Mus musculus: one gene and its partner. Each later gene encodes a partner of the first gene's protein in a complex. Links are inferred from orthologs where the notes say so. Each region holds a gene or a part of one and is shown on either strand. Other genes may lie near its edges.

What was found.
Region 2: Meaf6 (region 1) and Brpf1 share a complex: the UniProt entries of both Homo sapiens proteins name them as parts of the MOZ/MORF complex. The link is inferred for Mus musculus from reciprocal best matches to the Homo sapiens genes MEAF6 and BRPF1.

The regions. Positions count from the first base shown.
Region 1 is NC_000070.6:125,101,665-125,106,731, forward strand, and holds part of Meaf6 (chromatin modification-related protein MEAF6), read left to right. Parts: intron 1-1,174; coding exon 1,175-1,367; intron 1,368-1,765; exon of another isoform or gene 1,766-5,067.
Region 2 is NC_000072.6:113,316,274-113,321,340, forward strand, and holds part of Brpf1 (peregrin), read left to right. Parts: intron 1-254; coding exon 255-417; intron 418-786; coding exon 787-918; intron 919-1,274; coding exon 1,275-1,403; coding exon of another isoform or gene 1,404-1,421; intron 1,422-2,138; coding exon 2,139-2,448; intron 2,449-2,764; coding exon of another isoform or gene 2,765-2,767; coding exon 2,768-3,088; intron 3,089-3,394; coding exon 3,395-3,679; intron 3,680-4,160; coding exon 4,161-4,308; intron 4,309-5,067. UniProt on the Homo sapiens protein: Scaffold subunit of various histone acetyltransferase (HAT) complexes, such as the MOZ/MORF and HBO1 complexes, which have a histone H3 acetyltransferase activity.

The sequences.
Region 1 (5,067 bases):
GTGTAGGAAGCTGGCTGATTCTATTTTGTCACACTTGAAAGAGAGAGTGAGCAAGAAGTGGGGCGAACCTCTGCCCACTGAGCCTGCCCTTAGTGGCATACTTTCTCCTGCAGGTTGTACACTCTCCCAAGCAGCTCCACTGCCTAGGGATAGGTGTTTAAAGGCCTGAGCCTGTGGGGACAGGCCCATTGAAACTACCCTGCTGTGGCACCCTCCCTCCCCCGAACATACACATAAATGAGTAAAATGAAATTTTAAAAAGATAAAGGGGTGGAGCTGGAGAGATGCAGTTGTTAAGAACGCTTGTGCTTGTTCAGAGGACCGTGGGTCAGATCCCAGTGCCAGTGTCTGATGCCGTAATACCAGCTCCAGGAGATCCGATGTCTTTTTACTTCTGCAGGCACCTGCACTCCACTGCTTATAACCCTACCCGTGCACACATACACATCGTTTCAAAATGAAGTAAATTAAAAAGTTGGGGGGAAAAGTTCTGGGGTATCCTCTGAGACCTAGGAAGTTCACGGCCCAAGTTCCCATGAGACAATCTCTATCTTCCCTCCAAAAAAAAAAAAGATCCAAGACGGCAGTAATCAACGGATGGACTGGACGCTGCTCCCCACTGGGTACCACCTTCTTTTTGCTTTTTAAATTTATTTTTTTAAATGGTCTGTATGTGTCGGGCAGGGCAGGGTGTGGGGTGTGTGTGTGTGTGTATGTGTGTGTGTGTGTGCGTGTGCATGTGGGTGCAGGTACCCAAGGAGGCCAGAGGTGTCGGATCTCCTGCCGCTGCAGTTCCAGTGGGTGAGCCTTATGACATGAGTTCTGGGAGTTAGGCTCGGGTCCTCTGTAAGAGCAGTGCCTGCTTTTAATCTCAGAGTCATTTCTCCAGCTCATCCTCCACCAACTCTTCACTGAAAGGCAGGATTCTCTGACCGTTTGTCAGTTCTGCCAAGGCGTAACCCTTCCTCTCTTCAGTGTGCTCCATATTGAAATGGCCCTTAGTGCTCTGAGTTGTGGTCAGGCTTGTCCCCCGCACTGCTGCAGACCACGTGGATTTCAGGGGTTTCCTAGCTTTGATACTTTGAGTGCCTGTTCCCCGTCTTCTTTGTTCCATGGCCCGTGGGGACTTGAGGAGTCCTGATCTGGCTTTTGGGACCTGTTTTCGTTCCTCTAGGGGAACCAGGAAGTGGGACGGAAAGCGATACTTCTCCAGACTTCCACAATCAGGAAAACGAGCCTGCGCAGGAGGACCCCGAGGACCTAGACGGCTCCGTCCAGGGAGTGAAACCTCAGAAAGCCGCCTCTTCCACCTCCTCAGGAAGCCACCACAGCAGCCACAAAAAACGGAAGAATAAAAACCGGCACAGGTTAGTGGCAGGGTCCCACCCAGAGTCCTCACACATGCTGGGCGGGGCTTGGTTGGAATGAAGGTGCCTGGGACAGTGACAGAGTCCTCATGTTGCGGGTGGCAGACATCCTTCTGGTGCAAGTAAAGTGGGGTGGTGTCCTCTGAGGGGTGGAGGGTGGCAGTAGAGAGGCCCTGAAGGATCCACGGGAGTCACTAGGATGGACCGTGACTCCCATTGTCCTTTGCTAAGAGGAAAACAGGGAAATTAGAAAGGAGTCCTTGAAAGGACGACTCTGGTTGTTGGGAAACCGTGACCTGGGATAGAGGGTCCTGTCTGCTCCCGTGGGAGCTGAGGTGACATGCCCTTATGACTTTTTAAATACGGGTTTTGATTGTTATGACTTTTCTATTTTGTAGTTCTCTGAGTACGCTGCCTTCAGATACGGGGAAACACTTAAAGCTCCTCAGTGCGAGCATCCCTCCCTCCGTAGGAACCTTCTGAGCACTGTTACTTTTGCAGTGGGAAGTGAGATGGGAATGACACCAGTGGACAGAGAGGTCAGGTGTCTCAGGGGACTTAGTGGCCGCTCTGCCTGGGTTTGTATGCTACTGCTGGGCCTTAACTCAGAGGGGAATAAGTACCTAAAGCAGGGCCCTCCCCATCCTGGTGTTGGAAGCCTGAACACTGTGGGGTCAGAGGGGTGCGCAGGGCTGTGTGGGGCTGGCTCCCTATCCTCTGGTTGGCTAACGAACTATGTTGCTTTAGAAACCCGTGGGGTGTCCCCTCCTGCACCTAAGGTGTTACACTGTGAACTTCACAGACCCGGCACTGTGGATATTGTAGAATTAAATTTAACTGGTTTGAACCTCTTTGGCATCAACAGATTCTTGAATTCTTTTAAACTTTTCTTGTTTTTTTTTTTTTTTTTTTTTGCTTTCTGTTTTTGTTTTTGTTTTTGTTTTATTGCAGAAATAGTGTTTTCTCCCTATAAATAGTGATGAAGGATTATTGCTTTATGGTTTTTCTGCAAACCTAAAACCACTGTGCTACCTCAAACTATAGTGAGAAGCAACAAGACTTGTCCCCTCCCCCATGGTGAGACTGTAGGTGATTGGAGCACTGTGGCAGGCTTAGGGCCAGTTTATCGCAGACAGCAAAGAGCCATACTCTCTTTCTTTCTTTTTTAAAAGAGTTATTTATTTACTTATGACTGCTCTATCTTCATGCACACCAGAAGAGGGAATCAGATCGCATTACAGGTGGCTGTAAGCCGTGGTTGCTAGGACCTGAACTCAGGACTTCTGGAATAAGCAGCCAGGGCTCTTAACTGCTGAGCCATCTTCTCAGCCCAGAGAGCCATACTCTTGAAGAGTATTTTATGGGTTGGGAGATAGTTCAGTTTGTAAAGTGCTTTCCCTGCAGGCATGAAGACCTGAGTTCTACTCCCAGCACCCACATCAGAGCACTCAGTGAGTTGTATGTGTACATAATACCAGCATTAGGGACCATGAGATCTTGGGGGCTTGCCAGCTAGCCAGGCTAAAAGAAGTGATGGGACCCTTTCTCAAAAACTATATGAAGGGACACCTGCATCAATCTCTGGCCTACACACGTGCAGACACACACACACACACACACACACACACACGCATACACACATACACTGACACATGTATATATACCTCACACACACACACACAGAGGGAAGATAATTATTAAGTGTTTTTTAAGATTTATTTATTATTTATGTGTAAGTACATTGTAGGTGTCTTTAAACACACCAGTAGAGGGCGTCAGATGTCATTATGGCTGGTTGTGAGCCACCATGTGGTTGCTGGGATTTGAACTCAGGACCTTTGGAAGAACCGTCGGTGCTCTTAACCGCTGAGCCATCTCTCCAGCCCCTTAAGTGTTTTCTTGTATGTTGATTTTTTTTTTTAATTACATTTACTTTGTTTTCATTTTGGTGATTCTTTTCCTATTTCAGAGTGTCTAGAGCAGGGAGAACATTCTTGAAAGTCTCTCGGGACGCTGCACCCCTGACCAGTGTTCTCTTTAGACCCTGCTGGTTACGTGCGACACCCCTGACCATTTGCACTAGTGATGTGACCAGCTGCTGACTGACAAGAGGGTGCTAGAGAAGTGTTCAGTTTAACTTTGTCCTTGCAGGTTTCTAGAACATTCCTACGAGCATAACACTTCTTCCTTCTCCCCCAGGTGTGAAGCCCCTCCAGAAACACAGTAGCATTTGAAAGACCATCACTGGGCACTGCCCTCATAAGAGGCGAGGCCTGCCCAGAAGGTGGACTGGGTTATTATAGTCAGAATTCCTGTCCGTTCTGATCTCCTCCCAGGCCTAATGTGCTCACTTGCACCCCACCCCACCCCACCGCACCCCAAGAGACTGGTGCCACCAAATTGCTCTTTCTGAGGAAGCGAGGGTCAGGACTGCCCTGGGTGGCACCTCAGTGGGCTCAGGTGGTTGGAGTCCTGTGACCTCTGCACACTCAAGGGCAGGGCAGGAGCACATTTATCTGGACGCGCTGGCGAGCCGCACCCAGAGCAATGCTTTCTTTGCAGCATGAGGCTGGTGTAGCCAGGCCGTGTTCACAGGACGCTCGTCAGCAAATGGCTGACACTGTTGAGGAGAAACAGAAGGGAGCACTGGAATTTACCCTCTTGTGGGGTATGAAAGCTCACCAAGTGATCCCCTTCCTGGGCTGGAGATGGAACCCAGCTTCATGTATGCTAGTCACATGCAGATGATAGGTTTCCTGAATTCTTATATTTTACATGTCTGAACGATAGTTAAAGTCCCTCCACCCGAGAAGAATAGTTAAGTCCCACTGTCTTTAAAGAGAAGGAAGTAAATACTGACTGCTTGTAGAGCTCTTCACTTTTACCTTGCACCAAGATTTGTTTTTGTAAGGTGTTGCTTATCTGTTTTTAAGAGTTTTATTCCAGAACCCTGGCTGGCCTCAAACTAATTTCTTCTGCTTTAGCCCCTTGAATGCTGGGATTGTCAGGGATTACCATGCCTGCCACCAATCCCCAGTTGAGCTAAATAGGTACACTTTTATTGACGTATGCATCTATTGCCAACCCTGGAGGTTGAACGCAGCATGTAACTACCAGTGAGCTCCACCGGCAGCGGATGCTGTCTACTTTAGTTTGTGAAGGTTGAATCAGTTTGAAAGGAACACGTTGTGAGAGTCCTGCTTGTGCACTGGTGTGTGTGTCTGTGTGTGTGTGCGTGCGTGTGTGTGTGTGTGTGTGTGTGTGTGTGTGTGTGTGTGCGCGCGCGCGCACGCACACGCGCGCCCAGGAAGGTCCTAAATGAAACAGTGTAAGCAGTGCATAAGCTCGGCTCCCGAGGCTCTCACAGACGTGGTCTGGCAGAGCAGCCACTGGAGTATGGTCTTCCTGCCCGCCTGTAGGGTGAAAGGTGTCAGAGGCATCAAGGCGCTGGAGTCACAGTCCAGGCTGATGCTGAGAGATCTGTGCAGAGCACGGCCTGTTGGCCATGAGAGCACAGAAATGGCCTGCTCTGCTGTGCGCTCACTCATACAGCACAGAAGTGGCCTTTGTCTTGCTGGAGGCTCTGCAGACCCTGCTATTCCTTAGTTGCTGCACTGATATAAACAGTTAGCTGCCATACTAGGGAAGGTGTCACATACCCGCAGTCACAGTGCACGAAGGCTGAGGCAGGAGGATCACA
Region 2 (5,067 bases), on another chromosome or scaffold:
GCCTTAAACCCAGAGTTCCAAACTATTCCTTTTTGCGACAGAATCTCCTGTAGGCTGGGCTTGAACTCCATAGTCAGATGTGACCTTGAGCTTCTGGATCCTTTTACCCTCACCTCTAGGTTTCTGGGATCACGGTGTGAGCTACCATGCCTGATTTTCCAGACCTTTTTGATGAGCATCAATGCCCCCACTCATCCTAATTGAGGAGCTCTTCCTGGCAGTCAGGACCTAACAGGGTTTTATTTTGTTCCCAGGCTCAGTAAGATCACCAACCGCCTGACCATCCAGAGGAAGAGCCAGTTCATGCAGAGGCTGCACAGCTACTGGACTCTGAAACGACAATCACGGAATGGGGTCCCACTACTCAGGCGCCTACAAACACACCTTCAGTCTCAGAGGAACTGTGAACAAGTTGGGGTACCGTGTCCAAATCCTGTGGGCTGTGGAAACTAGTACTAAAAGGGCAAGGACTAAAATGTGTAGCAATATCCTCCAGCATCAAAGAGCTTACAGTTTTTCTAAGTTAAATTAACATCCCCACCCCATTGCAGGCTCAACATGAAATGTGTATATTATCAGCTTGGTAGAAAGGCATTGTTCCTGTAGGTTCATTAATTCAACAAACATACCAAGCATTTTCTAGGTTCTAGCCCCTGGCAACACGTGAATAGTGGTGCTTTGGTAAATTACTGGGTTTCCTCCTTGGCCTAGGTTTCCTGGGTACTCCTCTTCTGGACTCTCCTCTGGCTTTCTTACCATTTTCTGATGCCCCTTTTACCTCTACAGAGAGATTCTGATGATAAAAACTGGGCCCTCAAAGAACAGCTCAAGTCCTGGCAGAGACTGCGGCATGACCTGGAGCGAGCTCGGCTGCTGGTGGAGCTGATCCGCAAGCGAGAGAAACTAAAAAGGGAGACGGTGAGTGCTCCAGGGCCAGTCCTGGTTCTCAAAGTAGAACACGTCCTGGAGAAGGGAAAGTGTATGGCCAAGAGCATCAAGGCCCATACTGGCATTCTGAGTTCCAGCATTATGTGCTTTTAGGCCTGTCTGTGGGAGGCCAAATGTTAAAGGAGATTGCACAAAGTCCAAACCTCTGTGACCCAGGCAGCTCAGGCCAGGAGTTAAAGGATCGGGGACCAAAGTAGATAAGGACAGCTTTCTTTCATGGGGTCTGAATGAGAAAAGCATGTTCCTAAGCCAGCAAGGATCATCTCCTTTGACCTCTGCTGAGGGACTGGCCAGGACCTGGCTGATCCAGCCTTTTTGTGTGTCAGATCAAGATCCAGCAGATTGCCATGGAGATGCAGCTGACCCCTTTCCTCATCCTCCTCCGAAAAACCTTGGAGCAGCTCCAAGAGAAGGACACAGGCAACATCTTCAGCGAGCCGGTCCCTCTGTCTGAGGTAACCGAATTGGACGAAGTAAGAATCCCTTCCCCTCACTCCAACTTCTTTTTCTTCCTCTCCCAGTTGGACCCCTCCCTGATGCAGGTCTGACCCCAGGACTAGGTTGGGACCTAAGTGTAAAGGGTTTGGTGGCTCTGGGGCAGAATGAACTGAGCTACATGTGTCACCTCGACTCTTGTCTATCCTTACCCCACCCCAAGAACTCAGAATGGAAGCCCATCTGCACTCCTTCCCCAGAGTCTGCCAGATCACAGGGCAGGAAGATGCTTTCAGGGTGTGCAACCCTAGAATAGAAACTTTAGAAGACTAAGAATTTAAAGAGCCAACTCTGAAGCCCTAGGTTGACCCTTCTTTCTGAAATGAGACATTTGAGGCCTTACCACAAACCTTATGACAAACAAGAACAACAATATACAAGATGGTATAATTTTTAGAGAATTCTCATGATTTTTTTTCTCATTAAAGCTGCCAGTGGCCAATAAATATATTTGCCTGCATTTTTATTACTATTTCCAGGAGAGGAAAATAAGGCCGAGGAAAGTTAAGAGACTTACCAAGGTCACACAGCTTGTGACTAGTAAAGCCAGAACTAGAACTTCCCCTTGTACTACATGCCTGCCTCTTAACTATGGTGGGAGGTGGTTGCTAGATGCATTTTAGGGGGGCTGTTAAGAGTAGGGTTTGGGAGAATGAGAATAGATCTCCACTTAGACACTTACCCTGCTCTCCCAGGTACCCGACTACCTAGACCACATCAAAAAGCCCATGGACTTTTTCACCATGAAGCAGAACTTGGAGGCTTACCGCTACTTGAACTTTGATGATTTTGAGGAGGACTTCAACCTCATTGTCAGCAACTGCCTAAAGTATAATGCCAAGGACACCATCTTCTACAGGGCAGCAGTGCGACTCCGTGAGCAGGGTGGTGCTGTGCTCCGTCAAGCCCGGCGACAGGCAGAAAAAATGGGCATTGACTTTGAGACGGGCATGCATATCCCTCACAACCTGGCCGGAGATGAGGTCTCACACCACACTGAAGATGGTGGGTGATAAGTCATCCGCATGTATTGAGGGCAATGCTGTAGAGATGGACAGCTTTCCTAAAGTCCCTGGGAGCAGGCAATATAGGCAGAAAGCAGCTGGGCTGAGGAACAGCAAGCTCTCCCCAGGAATGCTCTCCTAAAAGCCAGACTGAGTGAATGGATGGCTGGGCCACCACTCTACATACTAGTGCTGCTGTTTTAACAGCTGTTCTAGGAGAAGCCAATGGGAAGAGTGGGTTTCCTCTTGCCTGCCCAGGTTCATGGGGCCCAACGGGCTGCTTTGAGCCTGACTTTTCTCCCCCCAACTCTCCCTAGCAGTAGAGGAAGAACGGCTGGTCCTGCTGGAGAACCAGAAACACCTGCCAGTAGAAGAACAGCTGAAGTTGTTGCTGGAGAGGCTGGATGAAGTCAATGCCAGCAAGCAGAGTGTGGGCCGCTCTCGGCGTGCAAAAATGATCAAGAAGGAGATGACAGCATTGCGGCGGAAGCTTGCTCACCAGCGGGAGACTGGCCGGGATGGGCCTGAGCGTCATGGCCCCTCAGGTCGGGGCAATCTGACACCCCACCCAGCAGCCTGTGACAAAGATGGACAGACCGACAGTGCTGCAGAAGAGAGCAGCAGCCAGGAAACAAGCAAAGGTCTGAACCCTATAGCAAGGTGGACCCCGTAGCAAGCCAGATTTTACCTCTGTAGCATGTACTCAGCCCTGCTGTTCCCAAGCAGAGGCCCTGCATGGCTAGCTGTACTTTCTTCTTCGTTACCCAGTCAGGGGCTTCTTAGCTACCTCTCTGGCTGTTGGTATGAGTTGTTCTAAATCCCAGGCCCCAAAATCATCTCAATTTTAGATAATGATTCTATATTCCCAGGGTGTGACCCTGGACATCTACCCTCCCTTCTCATGTCAGGCCCCTCACCAACTCTCCTTCTCTCTCTCTCTGCTCCAGGCCTGGGTCCCAACATGTCCTCAACCCCCGCACATGAGGTGGGCAGGAGAACCTCAGTTCTGTTCTCCAAAAAGAACCCGAAGACAGCTGGACCGCCCAAGAGGCCGGGCCGGCCCCCAAAAAACCGGGAGAGCCAGATGACCCCCAGCCACGGAGGCAGTCCTGTGGGGCCCCCTCAGCTCCCCATCATGGGCTCCCTACGTCAGCGCAAGCGGGGTAGGAGCCCCCGGCCCAGTTCAAGCTCAGACAGCGACAGTGATAAGTCCACAGAAGATCCCCCAATGGGTGAGCCTCATCATCACCCAGCCCCCAGTTCCCCCTCTCCCCTGAGAGTGAGCAGAGCTGCCATTCTCCCCAGCTTATTTCCTTATAATAGACAGCTGAGGAGTCTTAATTTCACCTCCTCGTCTTTCATTTGTAAAAACTGAGGCCCAGAGATACTACCCCGCCAGATTCACAGCCACACCCCTCCCCACCATCTCTTGACGTTTTCTCTTCTCTTCTGTCTTGGGAACTTCCTGCCCTTTAAGCCTTTATGTCTTTAGGCCAAAGGAAGGTGAGGTGAGGGTCAGGAAAGACCTTTGGCCAGCTGTGGTAGAACTGCCCAGAGCTATCTCCGCTGGCCAAAGCTGAAGGAAATTTTCAGCCCAGAAAGAGAACCCAAACTCTTGATTTCATCTTACCCCCCCCCCCCCGCCCCCCATGCTGGCTCTGATCTACATCTTCCTGACCAGTTGGTTCCTTCCCTCCTCCTCTTCCCTCTAAGACTTACCAGCCAATGGCTTCAGCAGTGGGAACCAGCCAGTGAAGAAGAGTTTCTTGGTGTACCGTAATGACTGCAACCTTCCCCGAAGCAGCTCAGACTCTGAGTCCAGCAGCAGCAGCAGCAGCAGTGCAGCCTCAGACCGGACCAGGTACCATTCCTACAGATGGGAGGCAGGCTGCAGGATGCCTTTACAGGTTTTCCCACTGGAAGTTGGGTTGCAGCCATTTCAGTCCAAAGGAAGGAGTTCAAACCCAAGTATCCCTGTAAAATAAATAGATTAGTCATCCTAACAGAACAGAAGATGCTGTCATAGGTTAAGTAGATGTTTTGGAGCAATGCAAACTGGTGCCCTGTAGCTAGGATTTAGCCATCAGACATACTTTATTTTGGCCACTAAGATGTTTTTAAAAACTGAATACAGGCTGCTCTTCCAGAGGACCCTGGTCCAATTCCCAGCACCCACACAGTATAGCTCTAGTTCCAGGGAGATTGGATGCCCTTTGCTGGCTTCCACAGGCCCTGATACACAGACATGTACACAGACATACATGCAAGCAAAATGCTTATACAGATAAAATCTTTTTAAAAAACCCAAAAGGACAGAATTACATTTACTTAAAAAGCAAAAACTGGCCGGGCATGGTGGCACATGCCTTTAAATCCCAGCACTCAGGAGGCAGAGGCAGGTGGATTTCTGAGTTCGAGGCCAGCATGGTCTACAAAGTGAGTTCCAGGACAGCCAGGGCTACACAGAGAAACCCTGTCTCCAAAAACCAAAAAATAAAAAAAAAAAAAAAAAAAAAAAAAGGCAAAAACTGAATCCACATAAAATTCTCAGACTCTATGTTCTCTTTAAAATCAAGAGTATCAGCTGGGTATGGTAAATCATATAATCCCAGCACTTGGA